Linked DNA regions of Schizosaccharomyces pombe. Changing the gene in region 2 together with the main gene of any one other region gives a genetic interaction. Each region holds a gene or a part of one and is shown on either strand. Other genes may lie near its edges.

Region 1 (7,458 bases), 2.3 Mb from region 2:
ATAAAAAAGTCCGTTACCAATGGCAGTAACTAAAGTCCCATTATCCAACCAAGAAGAGTCAGATATTAATGAATTTGTATATTCTAAAAGATTGTATCTACGAATACGAGACCAACATGGAATATCGTTCATATAAGATCGGCGATTTTGGCACAAAAGAATAACATCATGTAGAAAGCCAACAGCCAAGATAGAATGGGAATTGGGAGTAGAAGTCCAATCCAAGTCATTTATTGGTCCATAATCATCAAAAACAGAGGAAAATTCTTCCTTTTCAGAGAATTCTGAACTACGCGTGTCGAAAATTGAAAGTCGACGATTGTTCTCAGATACAACAGCAACTTTCTTGGATGTTGAGCCTTTGATCATAGTTGCAGATTTGATGCTAGTTTGCACTTTGGAAATTTCCGATATTTCCGCTTTATCGTCTCCCAATACTCTTGCCATCCAAGTCTGTAATAAACCGTCTTTTGATATTGATTGAAATACCTCTTGATCAAATGAAGATAAACTGCTCAAATTTAAAGTAGAAGACCAACCCATGACATCTACAGCCGATGCGATATTTAAATTCTTTGTAAAATTTACCCGATCTATAAACCGAAGTACAGCAGAACCATCATGAGCTTCGTTAGAGACACTCCAAAACCAGGCATGGCCTCCTTCCGTCAAAGCACATAGGGCGGAATTATCGTTGTTTTGAACAGGAAGAATAAAGAAGGTTATTATCGGACTAGTAGGGACTTGACGACATGTACAGAGAAGGGTTGGAGGAATTGCTTCATTGCAATGCCATAATTTTAAAGAATTTAAGTTGAGTACTGCTGCATATTCACCAGCATAAAGAGGTAATATAAAGTCAGATTCTCCAAGTAATAATCTGAACCTGCAAATTAACTGATTTTTCCCGTCTTGCGATATGTATGATTGAAACATACAGATACGATTAACATCTCGGGATACAATTCCATGACCATTAGAGGTTCTTGTTAAGCTTTTTATGGGATAATCATGTCCATAAAAATCGTAACTAACTCTTAACTCAAAGTCACTATAAAAGAAATCGGTAAGACTAAACATGTATTCACGGGCGGAATTTTGAAAAAATAAAATGATGTTATAATCGTAAAATTCGTGTTTTGAGGTCCTGTAAATAGGTATAAATCCGTCAGGTTGAAGAGCGCCTTTGGGAAAGTTCGTTGGAACTTGATTAATAAGCTCAAAAGATGACAAAGTTTCCTGGTCAATTACTAGAGAAAATATGTACAAACATTCAAAAGTAAATAGCAAAAATATATGTGGTTGTCCACTGGCCAAAGCCAGAAGCCTATTTAAAATGCGATCCTTATGCACTTGACCAGAATGGCGACTTATAGCATGTGCTAATGCTATAGTAAAATCGTCCTTATCAATAAAACAGCAGTATGGTGGTTGATCAGATTTGTAGTATTTTCTCAAGTTAAGAAAACAAGAAAGATGCATTAATTGAGAACCAAATCGGCTACCAACTTGCCAAATTCTTAGAACGTTATCATAGCCTACCGTACTCAGGAAGGGAGTCGATCCACTGGCGTCCGGATGAAGGTGTTTAGACCATTGGGAAAACCTTACGCGACAAGGATGAACAAGATAGCTGAAATCATCACATGAGCTAACTGTACCTTGAGGAGATGTTCGCTGCCAAACTTTAGCAAGTGGATTTTTTGTTTCGATAGAAGCTATAAAACAAGCATCGGAAGAAATAGTGCTACTAAGGAATGAATCCGAGATTCTGTTCTGCGACCAAACCAACCTGGGTTTGTCTTCAGAGAAATTTATAAGTTTAGTGTATGACGAAGCACAAAGCAACAGATCAAAATTGTATCCCCAAGATAGTTGAGTAATATCTTCAGAAAGCTGAGTTATATAATTGTAATGATGAGTCCATTTCAAAGAATCGGCGGGCTTATAAATATCCAAAACTTGTCCATGTGCTATTGCTAGAAACCCCGTACGTTGGTCCAAAGCCACTGCACCAATAGACTCTCCAAATTGTATATTTTGATAAGATTCGTAGTTATTTACAATAATTAATACGGTATAGCGAGTTCCAAATGTCTACCATTTAGTTAAACAATTACTTCAATTGGAAACAATACTTTGACATGCTGCTTTCGTTCTGCAGTTTAACCACTAGCAGACAAACGCATATCGTTTGCGTCCATTCACTTACTAATATTCGATTTTGGTTCCATTGTACATTGTCGTAGGCAGCTGTACGTTTTAGAGGTGTACCGGGATTTGTGAATGCCAGAGGCATGTTTACTGCAGAACGCTGTGCATGAGCTAAAATTGGATTTTTTTCGACTTGCAAATAGTTAAGGGAGAAATGACAATGATAAAAGCTATTAATATCTGATTTGACCTAATAGCTGTCTACGTTCCATATACGCATTTGAACCAGTGTGAACACCACCATACTGCGGAATAGCGTAATATTAATTGTCATTCTGAAAAGTTTAAGCATAATGCAATAAAAAAACGCTAAATGAAAAGGCAATGCTTTCACGGTTCTTAATGCAATTTTAATATTCATCTTAAATGGTTACTCTGAGTATTTAATTTTCAAACTCAACGAAGTTTCGCTAGATTCTTTAATTGGTTTGATTAATCATTGAATCAGTCATTCGGATACGTAGGAGACATTGAGCTAGTTAGTGTAAAATATAATAGACTGAGATTTATCGCTGCATTCAATGTATGTTGTGCAAAACGCGGAATTGAAACCGTCGCTGATAAAGTATGAGCGTATAAGCGAAAATAATTACTTGAATAGAAAATTTTCAATGGAAAACTATCAATTCACGAAGTATTAGCTGACGTTTGTTCAAAGAAAAAAATTCAATCGTGAAATGTAGATTTTTATTTGTTGTTTATCTAAATTATGGCTGTAATTGGTAAAGAAGTAGGATAAATCACTTGCGGTTGTAACACTTGAAAAACTTGAAAGCTTTATAATAAAAACAGAAAAGAATCAAAAGCTGTTAGTTTTAAAATGTCAACCGTTCTGCCAATATTTCATTATATGTGATAATAAATGAACAGTTTGCTAAACTTATTCAAAAAATGGGCAACGGCAATACTTCAAAGATGGCATAAAATATGCAATTCAACTTGTAAAGCTACAGACTTTTTGAGTAAGCTTTACTGCTAGTTGACTTAGGAGGTTTTCTATGCAGCGACTTGAATTTCCTTCATAGCCTTTTTTCTAAATATAGGAAATTAGGGACCTAGGTTGAACATTATCTTCAAATCATTTCAATTGACCTGCGAACAAGTCGACGAACTCTTTTCTTAAATTCTTGTGCTGGAAAAAGTTAGTACGATTTGATTATTAAAGAGTAAATTTTTTTGTTTGTAGGTTAGTATATACTCACGATTTTCTCGAAATTCCTTGGCAGCATCTATATTGGCAGGGGACTCATCATTAGGGGAAGAAAGCATGGAAATTACACTAATCAATATGGTTTCCGGAGAGTGTACCGGAAGCCAACGTTCTCCAGCATCCTCGTATCCATACTTGTCATCTCCTGGTGGGTGAAGAATCGATATGCAAACTTCGCCATTCGGATGAACATTAGGGTGCCAAATTTCCGTTGTGAACTGTTACCGTTAGAATCGTTTTTAGGCATAGACTATGTAGTTTCTATCAATTAAAAAATCAATGTATTTACTATACCTTCATCTTTGGAGGCATCAGAGGATAATCCTAATTTTTCGAGGTTAGTGACCAGCTTGTTTACCTTATACAACAAATATTATTTTTCTGTGAAACATAAATACATACTTGAGGAAACGATAATGTTGCATGGAAAAAACCACCTTCATATAATGTATCTTCTGGTCCAATGATCATAACTTCCCATTCAAAAATGGATTTATCATCGACTAAACCAACGCTAAAACCCTGTGGAGGATTTTTTTGAATTTCCTATATCTATCAGTATGTGTTCAAGAATTAAGATACTATGTACAATCATGAATATTTGGATATGAAGATTTCGTGCGCTTACCTTTAGTTGTTTTCGAAGAAGTTGTTCACTAGCAGAAGAAGGCATACTTCCGATATTTTAATAATTACGTTCTAAATATTTGGTAAACTGAGAAAAAGTAATATAAAGACAATTTTTAAAGTAGGGTTGAGCTGAAGGCGAAATACTGGTAGTTGAAAAAGGTTTGGGCGAGCTTCGTAAATATAGTTAGAGTAATATTCCTTTTTTGTATTATTTATGTAACATATAATAAAGCTTTTAACGTAGAAAACATAAATTTAATTTACTCTAAGTAAACATTTTGGTTAAGATTACAATTTTCAAATTTCTTCTATGATATAGTACCTAAGGTTTTATTACACAAAGTAAAACAAACTGTAGTTATATATTGGATGACCGAAAAAAAACGGCATATTCCTATGAAATTATTTGAATATAAAAGAGAGTGTTCTCCAAGTCATTTTGTTGATTAATAAGGTTTGTAACGGAGAAAGCTCAAATTGAACAATAAATAAAGAGGTATGTACAAATGCCTCGAATAATCAATCAATTTTAATGGACGCATAAATTTTGTTAACAAAGAGAAAGGCGCCAAAGAAACCAACCGATCCACATAAGAAAAATACCAAAACAGAAATCAGTAAACTATAGCCGAAATAAAGAACGGCAGTAGCAAGGGAAGATGATGAGATTTTAAAAAACCAGTAAAATACTGAAAATATAAATACATAGATTCCACAAAATCCAGGTGTTATGAAAGAGCGCCACCACCAGTTGTAGTTTTCGGAACACAATTGGAAATAAACAGTGATAATGGAAACCATGATACAAGTGGTTACTAAAATACCGAAGCAAAAGAACGAGAAACCGAACATGAAATACAATGGGTGAAACCATAAACTGTCAAGGATAGAAAACAATTCAATAAGGATTACGAGGAATGGTATAGATCCACCGATAATCGCACTAGGAAAACTCGAAAGCCAAATACTATGAGATGGAATTTGACGAGGGATTTGGTTTGTCCTAACAGGTGGGACGAACTCTCGAGAACGAAAGCCGATTAAAGAACCGACAAAGCTTAATGGTACAGTAAACAATAGATACAGGAAAATGAGTAGAAGCCAGCTTGAAAAGGGTACAGTTGATGATGAACTTTTACTCCAAAATACCATGTTAAAGAAAAGAGCTGCCGCAAGCATAAAACCAGGTACGACAAAAGGAGTTAACAGAAGATTTCGCTTTCTAAGCATACCTTGCATCAGTTTGTAGGATAATGCAGATACATAACCAGAAACGAAACCTGATATAATGAATAAGGCCACCGTTGCTGTAGCTAAACTTCCACGACGAGAGGGTGCAACAATGCCAAAAATTGCAAATAAAACGATACCAGAGCTCATAAAAAGAAGTTGTGCACCAGTCCCTAAAAGGATAGAAAATAGCATGGGTCTACGAGGTGGACGAAATACATCACCATGAACTAGCTTCCAACCAAAATCTTCTTGAACATCTTCTTGATCGACAAAGGCGCTATTATATTTATTAATGTCACGATTTAGCGTTCTGTACAAAATAATAGAAACCACAAAAATTAGAAATGTGTCAATAATTGCGGAATGGATAATAAAGATCCATCGAATTTGCCTAGATTCAATGTGCATATATTTGTCCCATCGGGTAGCCCATGGAGTATCGGAATATTTCCAAGAGACTGAGTAAGAGGTCACGAGAGTAAGATCAGCTCCTTCCGGTAAATACTGTGGATTTGAAGACGAAGAACAAACTGGGTTTCCATCAACTAAAGTAGACTCCTTTGAGACAGGTTTTACATAAGCACCCACAACACGGTGTTGGTCACTAGATGTCGTATGATATTCTATAACTATATCATAATGATTGAATAGAATTACTCCCTTCTCCGTATTCTTGCCTAATGGAAAGCCTGGCGATAATGAGTAGTTCTTTGAGTTAGTCCCTTCTAAATATGTTGCTACGGGCAGATTATCTATGTTCCAGTTAACAACGTAGTTTTTGGAGATTAAATCTCTAATAAAACTGACATCTGAACTGGGAATTATCGAGGCACACAAGGGAACACAATCCTGGTTTTCAAGCATTTTTATTTCAATGGGAGAGTTGTAGAGACGGTCGCCAAAAAGCACACTTCCAAGTGACTCAGATTGTTTTGCGATATTCTCTGGTCGACAGAAGTGGAAACGCTCATCGTAGTCTAAAGTGAAGTTAGTAACAAGCAAAAAAGTTCGAGAGAAAATGTTATATCCTTCATTAAATCATATTTCTATAGTGTTTTCCTAATTTAAAATTGTAAAGTTTTTAAAAAAACACATGAACCTTCATGTGAGCTATCAACCACGTACATTCATAATTAAAGATGTCAGAACCCCGTCCATCTCCAATAAATGGTGAAATGGTATTGACAGTTGTATCAATTGAAGCACCGGGAGGATAGTTTTTCGGACTTAAGGGAGTTAATTGAAAACTAAAACAGGTTTGGAGAAGAACGGAAACGAAAACAACAAAGCTAAATGAACACGAGGGAATACTAGGTAAAAGCATATTTTACTATTTCCCTAATTCTTGGCAAAGACTCGAAACAGAATCTTTTCAAACCGAGATGATTAAGACTAAATCAATATAAAGTGCTACGGTTTTGGGGATTGATGCTGGTAGCATTTAATTTGAGGAATGCTGCTGTACTCTTAGTATGTCTCTTTATTGTGCTATTAACAATCCTCGTATACCGGTTTACGACCTGCTAACTTTCGTTATTCGTATATGAGGTTCAGAACGTGAGAGTTGGAGAACATCGATGTAAGCGAAAACATATCTGTTGAGTTTTCTTGTTATAACTTATTTATCGTTACATAATAATTGAAAGTTTAGTACTAAAAGTTGCGAAGGAACAGGTTGGAATGTCCTTAAATGACTTTCTGCAAACTTTGAGTAACGCTGTTGGAGAGAAAAACTCCAATACGTTGGAGAAATGTATTATTTTAGATCCATCAGAGCCCTCGTTTCAACAGCTCAGTAAAACTCTTTTTTTGGTATGTCGCAGGCTTGCACTACAAGTAATTGTCTTCAGGTTATAACATTAACTAACCGTGATAAAGGATAGAAAGGGGAAAAATAAGTTAAACGGAACCATTCAAAAAGAATTTGGAAGAATAAGAGGTTGGAAGGAATTGGTAACTACCTATTTTGAGTACGTTGAAAATGCTGCATCTTCTCCTGATCAACGAAAATGGGAATTGTTACAAAACTTGTATAGGTAATTAAAAACTTTTTGTTTATTATTTCTCACTTTTGTTTTTCTAGTAACTTGACAACTTGCTTCTCCCATATCGATGGAGCATGGTTGTGTACAATTGTAAAACGCGTTTCAAAGCTTTATGTAAAGCTCTCC
Region 2 (7,975 bases):
GGACCGCCTCATGAATCATTTAAACATGGAGATACCGAATACAGAACGAAGTCGCTTTTTTCTTGACGATAAGCAAGCTACTTTTAAATAATCAGCAACATTCAATTGCAAATACATATATATTCTCCATATAAAATGTATATTTTGTTATTCATTAAAAATGCGTTAAGTAAGTATTTGATTTACGTTTAAATAAATTTAATATGTTACCGCGGTAACTCGCGACACGTAAACAAAGCGACTTTGCTCCTCCCACCTTGCTCGACGACTCTCACCACCTCAGCGTGTTCCCAAAGCTAGGAATTTATTGTTTATGTTATTCATGGCTGTTTTTATATTCTATTGAAATAATATAAAATGCTAAAATTATCATTTAGGTCGCTGACAAGCCGCCTCCCCAGACTTTCTACTTTAGTCGTCCGTGGTTACGCGTCAGTAGCAAATACGGGCATTGAAGCTTCTAATACATCAGAAAATAATTTGAATATCCAAGAACAGTTGAATGATAACGATAAAAAGCGACTTAAACAAATTCGAAATATTGGAATATCTGCCCATATTGATTCCGGCAAGACTACCTTTACTGAAAGAGTTTTGTACTATACAGGAAGGATAAAAGACATTCATGAAGTCAGAGGAAAGGATAATGTCGGAGCAAAAATGGATTTCATGGAACTTGAACGGGAAAAAGGAATTACCATTCAATCGGCTGCTACCCATTGCACTTGGGAACGTACTGTGGATCAGATTGAAGCTAACGAAAAACAAAAAACTGACTTTGAGAAAAGTTATAACATTAATATTATTGATACACCTGGTCACATTGATTTTACCATTGAGGTGGAGCGTGCCTTACGTGTGCTAGATGGTGCAGTGTTGGTACTCTGTGCTGTCTCCGGTGTTCAATCGCAAACTATCACAGTTGATCGACAAATGCGCCGCTACAATGTCCCCAGGATCTCTTTTGTTAACAAAATGGATCGTATGGGTGCAGATCCGTGGAAGGTCATTCAGCAAATAAACACAAAATTGAAAATTCCCGCTGCAGCTGTTCAAATTCCTATAGGTCAAGAAGACAAACTTGAAGGTGTGGTTGATCTTATACAAATGCGTGCAATTTATAATCGTGGGTCGAAGGGTGAGAAAATCGAAATTTCTCAGCAGGTTCCTGAGAATCTTATTGAACTAGCAAAAGAAAAGCGCTCAGCTTTAATTGAAAAGCTTGCCGATTTAGACGAAGAAATTGCTGATATATACGTAATGGAAGAAGACCCTACACCTGAGCAGCTTATGGGAGCTATTCGTAGAACTACACTTGCAAGGAAGTTTACACCTGTATTAATGGGTTCTGCCTTGTCCAATGTTGGAGTTCAATCTGTTTTGGATGCTGTTTGCGACTACCTACCCAACCCTTCTGAGGTCGAAAATATAGCTTTGAATGCAGCAGACTCAGAAAAGCCAGTATCCCTTGTTCCTAGCAGTGAGAAGCCGCTTGTCGCTCTTGCTTTCAAACTCGAGGAGGGAAGGTTTGGCCAGCTCACCTATTTGCGAATTTATCAAGGTACACTCAAGCGGGGTAATTACATTTACAATGTCAATTCTACAAAAAAAATAAAAGTTTCACGCCTCGTTCGTATGCATTCCAATGATATGGAAGAAATCGAAAAGGTTGAAGCTGGAGGGATTTGTGCGTTATTTGGTATCGAATGCGCTTCTGGAGACACCTTCACGGACGGTTCCGTATCGTATACTATGACTTCAATGTTTGTACCAGAACCCGTAATTTCACTTTCTTTAAAACCGAAGAGCAAAGATACAACCAGTTTTTCTAAGGCTTTGAATCGCTTTCAGCGTGAAGATCCCACTTTTCGTGTGCAGTTGGATAATGAATCGAAAGAAACCATCATTAGTGGTATGGGTGAACTTCATTTGGAAGTTTATGTCGAACGTATGCGTCGTGAGTACAAGGTTGACTGTGAAACGGGTAAACCAAGAGTTGCATTCCGGGAAACTCTTTCCAAAAAGGTACCTTTCAGCTACCTGCACAAAAAACAATCTGGTGGAGCCGGTCAATATGCAAAAGTAGAAGGGTACATTGAATACATGGATGGTGTGGAAGACGAATCTGGAAACGTTGTTGATTGTGAATTTATCAACAAAGTTACCGGTGGAACAGTCCCTACGCAGTATATTCCAGCTTGTGAAAAAGCTTTTTACGAAGCATTGAAAAAAGGATTTCTCATTGGTCATCCTATAAAAAATTGCAGGTTCGTTTTAGAAGATGGTGCTTATCATCCCGTTGATTCCTCTGAATTGGCATTTCGTTTAGCCACCATTTCTGCTTTCCGTACAGCTTTCTTGCAAGCGAACCCAATGGTTTTGGAACCAATTATGAACGTAAGCATAACGGCGCCTGTTGAACATCAAGGTGGTGTAATTGGTAATCTTGATAAGCGTAAGGCGACTATTGTCGATAGCGATACAGACGAAGATGAGTTTACGTTGCAGGCGGAGGTCCCTTTGAACAGCATGTTTTCTTATTCCTCGGATATACGAGCCTTGACTAAAGGCAAGGGTGAGTTTAGCATGGAGTTTCTCAAATATCTTCCAGCACCAAAATATGTGCAGAAGGAACTTGTTGACGCGTACAACAAACAACAACAAAAATAATTTTTGAAGTCCGTTTTAAATGAAGCAACAGCAAAGTTTTTGGTAACCAGTCATTTCTATTTAAAAAAAAAAATTTTGATCCACTCTCCTCTTTACTAACGCAGCAATCTACATGCAAATAAAAAAAATAAATACCCAGATTATTACCATACAAGTAATGTACAATTTTTTTTGTGCAAGATAGTTCATGGAACAGAGAATGAGTATATTAAAGAATATGAAGAGTAAATTATAGACCAACTTATAAAGGCTGAGCTCTTAACGGAGACATTTTGGCCAGAACATACATTTGAATTCCAATAACTTGTTTTCAAATAGTGCTTTTTTCTTTTTCCTTCTTTCTTTCCATATTTTTGTTATTGGTTTGGAAAAAAAAGGGAGTAGGAATAGGATGATAGATAATATGAATAGGAAAAAAGTATGACTTTCAATATAAAGGTAAGGACAGTGATAAAGCAAGCCCCCTTTATGGAGTCTATTACTGAATTTGATTTATGAATGAGTTCTAAGGATTATTGTATAAAATAGGAATTTTAGTTTCAAAGAAAGAAAAAGATAAGAAAACGTAAAACATCAGATGCAAGAAAGAAACAGGAAAAAAAGAATAAAGGCACATACGAACATCTTTTTTTAAAACAATTTATAGCACTCCAAGTTCTTTTTGGGCTTGAATACGCAATTCCTCATCAGCGGCTTCATACAGAATTTTTTCGGTTTGCCAACGTTGCGAAATAGAATCAATGTCCTTGGGAATATTATCAATTATGCTGTGAATTTTTTCGTTTTCAATTATTTCATTGCAAGTTTGGAATATAAACTGATTCCATCCAGGCTGCAATGAATTGGCAGTTTTGGCAATATCCATCAACTCCAATTCAGTTTCCTTTTCCAAACGACCAAACTTACGAATTAGCTCGTCACCAACGCCGCCGCGGTTGAGCAAATTATTCAATGCCATTCTCGATACTTTAAGCTTCATCAATCGACGAAGACCTTCTGTAGCCCGTAAAACGAGAGCAGCTTTCAAAAGTGTATCCTCGGCAGGTGGATTCTGCTGCAAAAGACTGAAAAATATATTTCTAGAATAATTTTCTCCAAACCATTCTTCTGATACTGGTTTTGATTCCTGATTTTTGGATTTTCGCACAAAACGAGAAACTCCATACATAGAGCCCATTAAAATGGTAATATATATCAAGGGAACGTAAATCGACACCATATTGAATTAATTAACACGGCCAAGTATGTAAAGCAAGCAGGGACCTTTTTCTTTAACAACTCGTATACCCTTTTTGTATTATTTGTTTTTTGCAGAGTGGACTGCAAATATGTATATGAGATATAACTTCGAGACCAAATGAATGCAAGACCAGTTTAGGTGTGAAAGGAGAATAGTGTGTTTTCTGGAATGCTTTATATTTTATAAGGTTGATGTAATTTTCTGTTATTTGTAGATAAGAGATATTTATGTTTTCTTAAAGACGCTAAAATATTTTACGCGATGCGCTATTAGATAAACAAATCGATCGGATATTGTTCAATTGTTTGTTTAAACTCAGGTAAAAGTTTTTAGAATTAGAAATGAAAAAAATTTACTAATAGGGAACTAGGATAATAAACAATTGAGCATTTTAGAAACAGATTTTGCGACCATTGTGAAAACTGACGAAACATATAGTTAGGAAGACAAAAACACCTCATTTATGAAATTATTTCTTTTTTTCAAGTATACAAAGGATCTTTGTATGTTCTTCTATATTGTTTCTGTAGTTTTATTAGTATTTTTACATATCGAGGCATTGGCATTCATTTGTTTTATTTACAGCCAATTAATAAATTCCCTTATTTTGATATAAGCTTTACAGTCTCGCTTAACTTGAAAACGCTATGATGTTGTGTATTCAGTTACAATAAATAGTGACATACAATAGTCGCTCAAATATATCTGGTTATATTTTATATTAAATAATTTTGCCAACTGATTTATCTTGGGTTGATTTTTCTTATTCGTGAGATTTAGATAGCCGTTCATGATGTTTTTCTGCATACAATGCATATTAGTGGAAAATGCGTTCGATTTCCTTATACTCATACAATCCTTTAGACCGTCGAAAGCGGAGTGGTATCACTTTGGTATAAAAAGGTAGTCTTAATTAACCTACCACTAACGTATATTTTCATTAACAAAAAAAAAGTTTATTATCATTATTCAAGATGGCTAAAAGATCCATATTTCGTTTTGCTGATGAAAAGGGCTTGAAGGTCGCTGCCCGTTATGGAGTCCTTATGTCAACTAGTTTTATTTTTGCTTTACTTTTCCACAGCGTATGTTCCAATCAAATTTCTATTTTATTCTAAGATTATTCATTTGAAAATCAACTTTCATTTGATATCAATTTCGTTTAGCTTTTGGAGACAAAGGGAGCAGAATATGAGAAATTATAAGTCGGTACTTTGAGTGAATTCTGAATTTGTTTTACAAAACATGCATTGTTAAAATAAATCTGGAAAATTATTTTATCAGGAACGTTTCTAAAAAGGAGCTTTTTGTCTGTTTAAGTTTTCATAATCGGATACGAGCATTCATCTTACCGCTCAATGTTTGCCGCGCTGCTCATTTTTCTGTTGTTCTTATGTTTTTGGAGCTTCACTTCGAATTGATTACTTTGTTCATAGTCTTTATTTTCTTAGCATAAATTACTAATGTCATTTAGAGCGTTGCCGATGTGAATACCTTATGGAGTCCTGGCCCTGAGTCTGCTTTCGATGCTGCTGAAACTTACTATACTTTGGTGGCTGGATCCCATTTCATTGTAAAATATACTGTATATACCATCATGGGACTTAATATGATTTTCCATCTTATTCAAGCCACTGGCGCTAAAGGTGATGACAAATTGTTCTTTTACTCTAGCACGCTTCTTTATCTTACTGCACTAATTTTGTTTATTGTTAATGTTGCTCCTTCTATGTTGGTTGTTAAGCTACAGAATTATGTTCAATTCCCACGAAATATGCACTTGTCCGTTCTTGCTGCTTCTCATGTTCTTGTTGAATTTCTTCTTGCTGGTGTCATTCTTATTCAACTTGGATACGTTTTCGGATATCATGTTCAAAGTATCCAGCAGCGCGAATACGCTGAAGATATGAGGGAGCAAGAATTAGCTGAAAAGGCTAAATTGGAATCCGAGTCTGCTACTACTCAGAGTGTAGAAACTGTTTCCACCGAATCTGTTTCAAAGCGCAAGTAAACAAACCACTTGGGTCTAATTTTACAACTTTTGGAATAGAGTGAACTATTTTATATCTTGCTAATTATTGTTGCTAGTCCGTCATCAACTCTTTGACGCAAAGTTTATGTCTAACTAGAAAGCAAAGAGTGACTTGCATTGACGGTAACTGGGAAAGCTTACATGTGTATTCATACGTACAATTATATATATACAAGATTTATACTGTCTTATATAAGAAATAAATTGACTTGAATTTTCGATAGAGGAATAGTTCGTTATGTTTGGATTTAGAATAGTCTTTAGCACACTTATACTTCTTAATAATTAAATATGTACTCATTGTGCAAAAAGGATTATCACAAGTGAAGCTTTTGTGAGATTGTATATTCTTCTATACTATGGATGCATAAACAAAGTCTCATTTTAGATGGGTTTTACGCTGCAGATACAGCAGAAGCGCCATACAAATATACTAAGTAAAATCTCAAAGTTCAAATGCTCAATCGATTTATTGTGCTAATTATCGATGTTTAATTCACTTTTTAACAACTAATAAATAGGTAACAATGTTACTTGTTCGTATAGCTTACTTGACTGCATAGCATCAGAATGATAATTGTAACTAGCTTCAGCGAATTTGGTAAGTTGGACTAGTTGGTTAGTTATTACCTTTTTTTTCTTTCTTCTGTGTTTCTCTAATCTCAACCCTACTGTAGACGGTAACTTTTTCAATTCATTCGTTCGGGTCATTTTTTGATCAAAATGTTGCAACTTTTCATTTATAGCCCAGGACTTGGGCAACCAACGATGGATCCTGGATGCTTAGCGGCATTAATTTATTGCGCACTTGCCGTCCCAAAGGACGAAATTGAAATTCTTCGCACTGCAAATTCAGGTATGAGCCCTACCCATAAGCTACCAGCTTTGTGGGATGGTCATGTTTGGATTGGATCTTTGAAAAACATTTTAATATACTTGAAACAGAAGGGCTATAATTTGGATAATTTTGATGCGAAACAGCTGGCCAATGTTATGGCCTTCACCAGTTTATTGGAAGGTTCCGTCAATGACCTTTGGTTATTAGAAGCCTTTGTTAATGAGGAAAATTTTGTTGAAGCAATAAGACCTGCTTGGTCAAAGGCACTTAAATTTCCTCATAATTATTTGACACCCAATGCTTTGCAACGGCAAGCAAAAGAACGCTTGGCTCAAACACTTGGTATTCGCGACGAAGAAGTCTCTTATGAAGCATCAAGGATGCCTATTTCTCATAAATGGACTAATGCTACTAGACATAGGCAAGCTCTACTGCGCACGCAAGCTCGTCGTATAAGAATTTCGTCATTAGCTCGGCAGGTATATGGTTCGCTTGAGTCCCTGATTTCAGATTCAAAATTTATATTCGGTGAAAAGCCAACATCTCTCGATTGTTTGTTTTACGCCTATTTATCTTTCCATGCTTTCACCAATGAGCTTCCTCAAGCAACTTTGCGACCATGTTTGCAATTCAACTCTCCCAAGCTTTATGCCTATCTCAAATCTTTACGCGAAACCTGGTTTTCCGATGATTCAAACATACTTTCTCCTTTATCGATTAAAGTTCAACCCGAAAATCTATTGACTATAGCTCGCCTTGCTTGGAACAATGTTACTGCCAAAGCAAATGATACAAGGAAATCAATTACTAAGTTTAGCGTCCCTCCCGAAAGGAAACTGCTGTGGGCGAGGAATGGATTCTTTATTTTTGCATCCGCTTTCAGCTTTGTATGGTTTGTCATCAGCAATGGTATAGTTGTCATTGAGACGGAAGATGATGAGGCTTCCTTTGAGGAAGTAGATGATGCTAAAGAAAGCATACAAGAAAAAGAAATTGATGAAACTACTGAATCAAAAGCGACCCATGACAGTTCAGAAACCTCATCAAGTAAAGAGTTACCTAAGGAAGAAGAAAAAGAGTCAAGTTCTTTTGATTTGCAACCTTTATCAGCGCAAGATTTATTGTTTTCTGGATTTGCAGAAGATGAAATTATGGATGAAGAATTTGGGTATGACGATGATGACGATGAAGAATT

Evidence for each region.
Region 1: of shr3 (region 2) and ubc15, changing one suppresses a phenotype caused by changing the other (phenotypic suppression), as found in Schizosaccharomyces pombe (one large-scale study listed by BioGRID).

The regions. Positions count from the first base shown.
Region 1 is NC_003423.3:3,519,514-3,526,971, reverse strand, and holds ubc15 (ubiquitin-conjugating enzyme Ubc15), read right to left. Parts: upstream 4,203-7,458; 5' UTR 4,098-4,202; coding exon 4,053-4,097; exon of another isoform or gene 3,971-4,052; coding exon 3,827-3,970; exon of another isoform or gene 3,824-3,826; intron 3,749-3,823; coding exon 3,719-3,748; intron 3,702-3,718; exon of another isoform or gene 3,643-3,701; coding exon 3,417-3,642; exon of another isoform or gene 3,347-3,416; coding exon 3,288-3,346; 3' UTR 2,827-3,287; downstream 1-2,826. Other genes in the region: RAVE complex subunit Rav1, read right to left, coding at 1-2,097, 2,213-2,299; EMP70 family endosomal transport protein Emp70, read right to left, coding at 4,574-6,264, 6,413-6,611; TREX/TREX2 complex subunit Pci2, read left to right, coding at 6,968-7,099, 7,166-7,323, 7,371-7,458. UniProt on the Schizosaccharomyces pombe protein: Catalyzes the covalent attachment of ubiquitin to other proteins. Has a role in the formation of chromatin structures that influence the localization of transcriptional silencing factors.
Region 2 is NC_003423.3:1,172,775-1,180,749, reverse strand, and holds shr3 (chaperone protein Shr3), read left to right. Parts: upstream 1-4,836; 5' UTR 4,837-4,884; coding exon 4,885-4,995; intron 4,996-5,384; coding exon 5,385-5,921; 3' UTR 5,922-6,270; downstream 6,271-7,975. Other genes in the region: mef1 (mitochondrial translation elongation factor G), read left to right, coding at 358-2,670; translocation subcomplex subunit Sec66, read right to left, coding at 3,311-3,889; mtx1 (metaxin 1), read left to right, coding at 6,666-7,975. UniProt on the Schizosaccharomyces pombe protein: Involved in amino acid permease processing and required for the efficient translocation of structurally related amino acid permeases from the endoplasmic reticulum to the plasma membrane.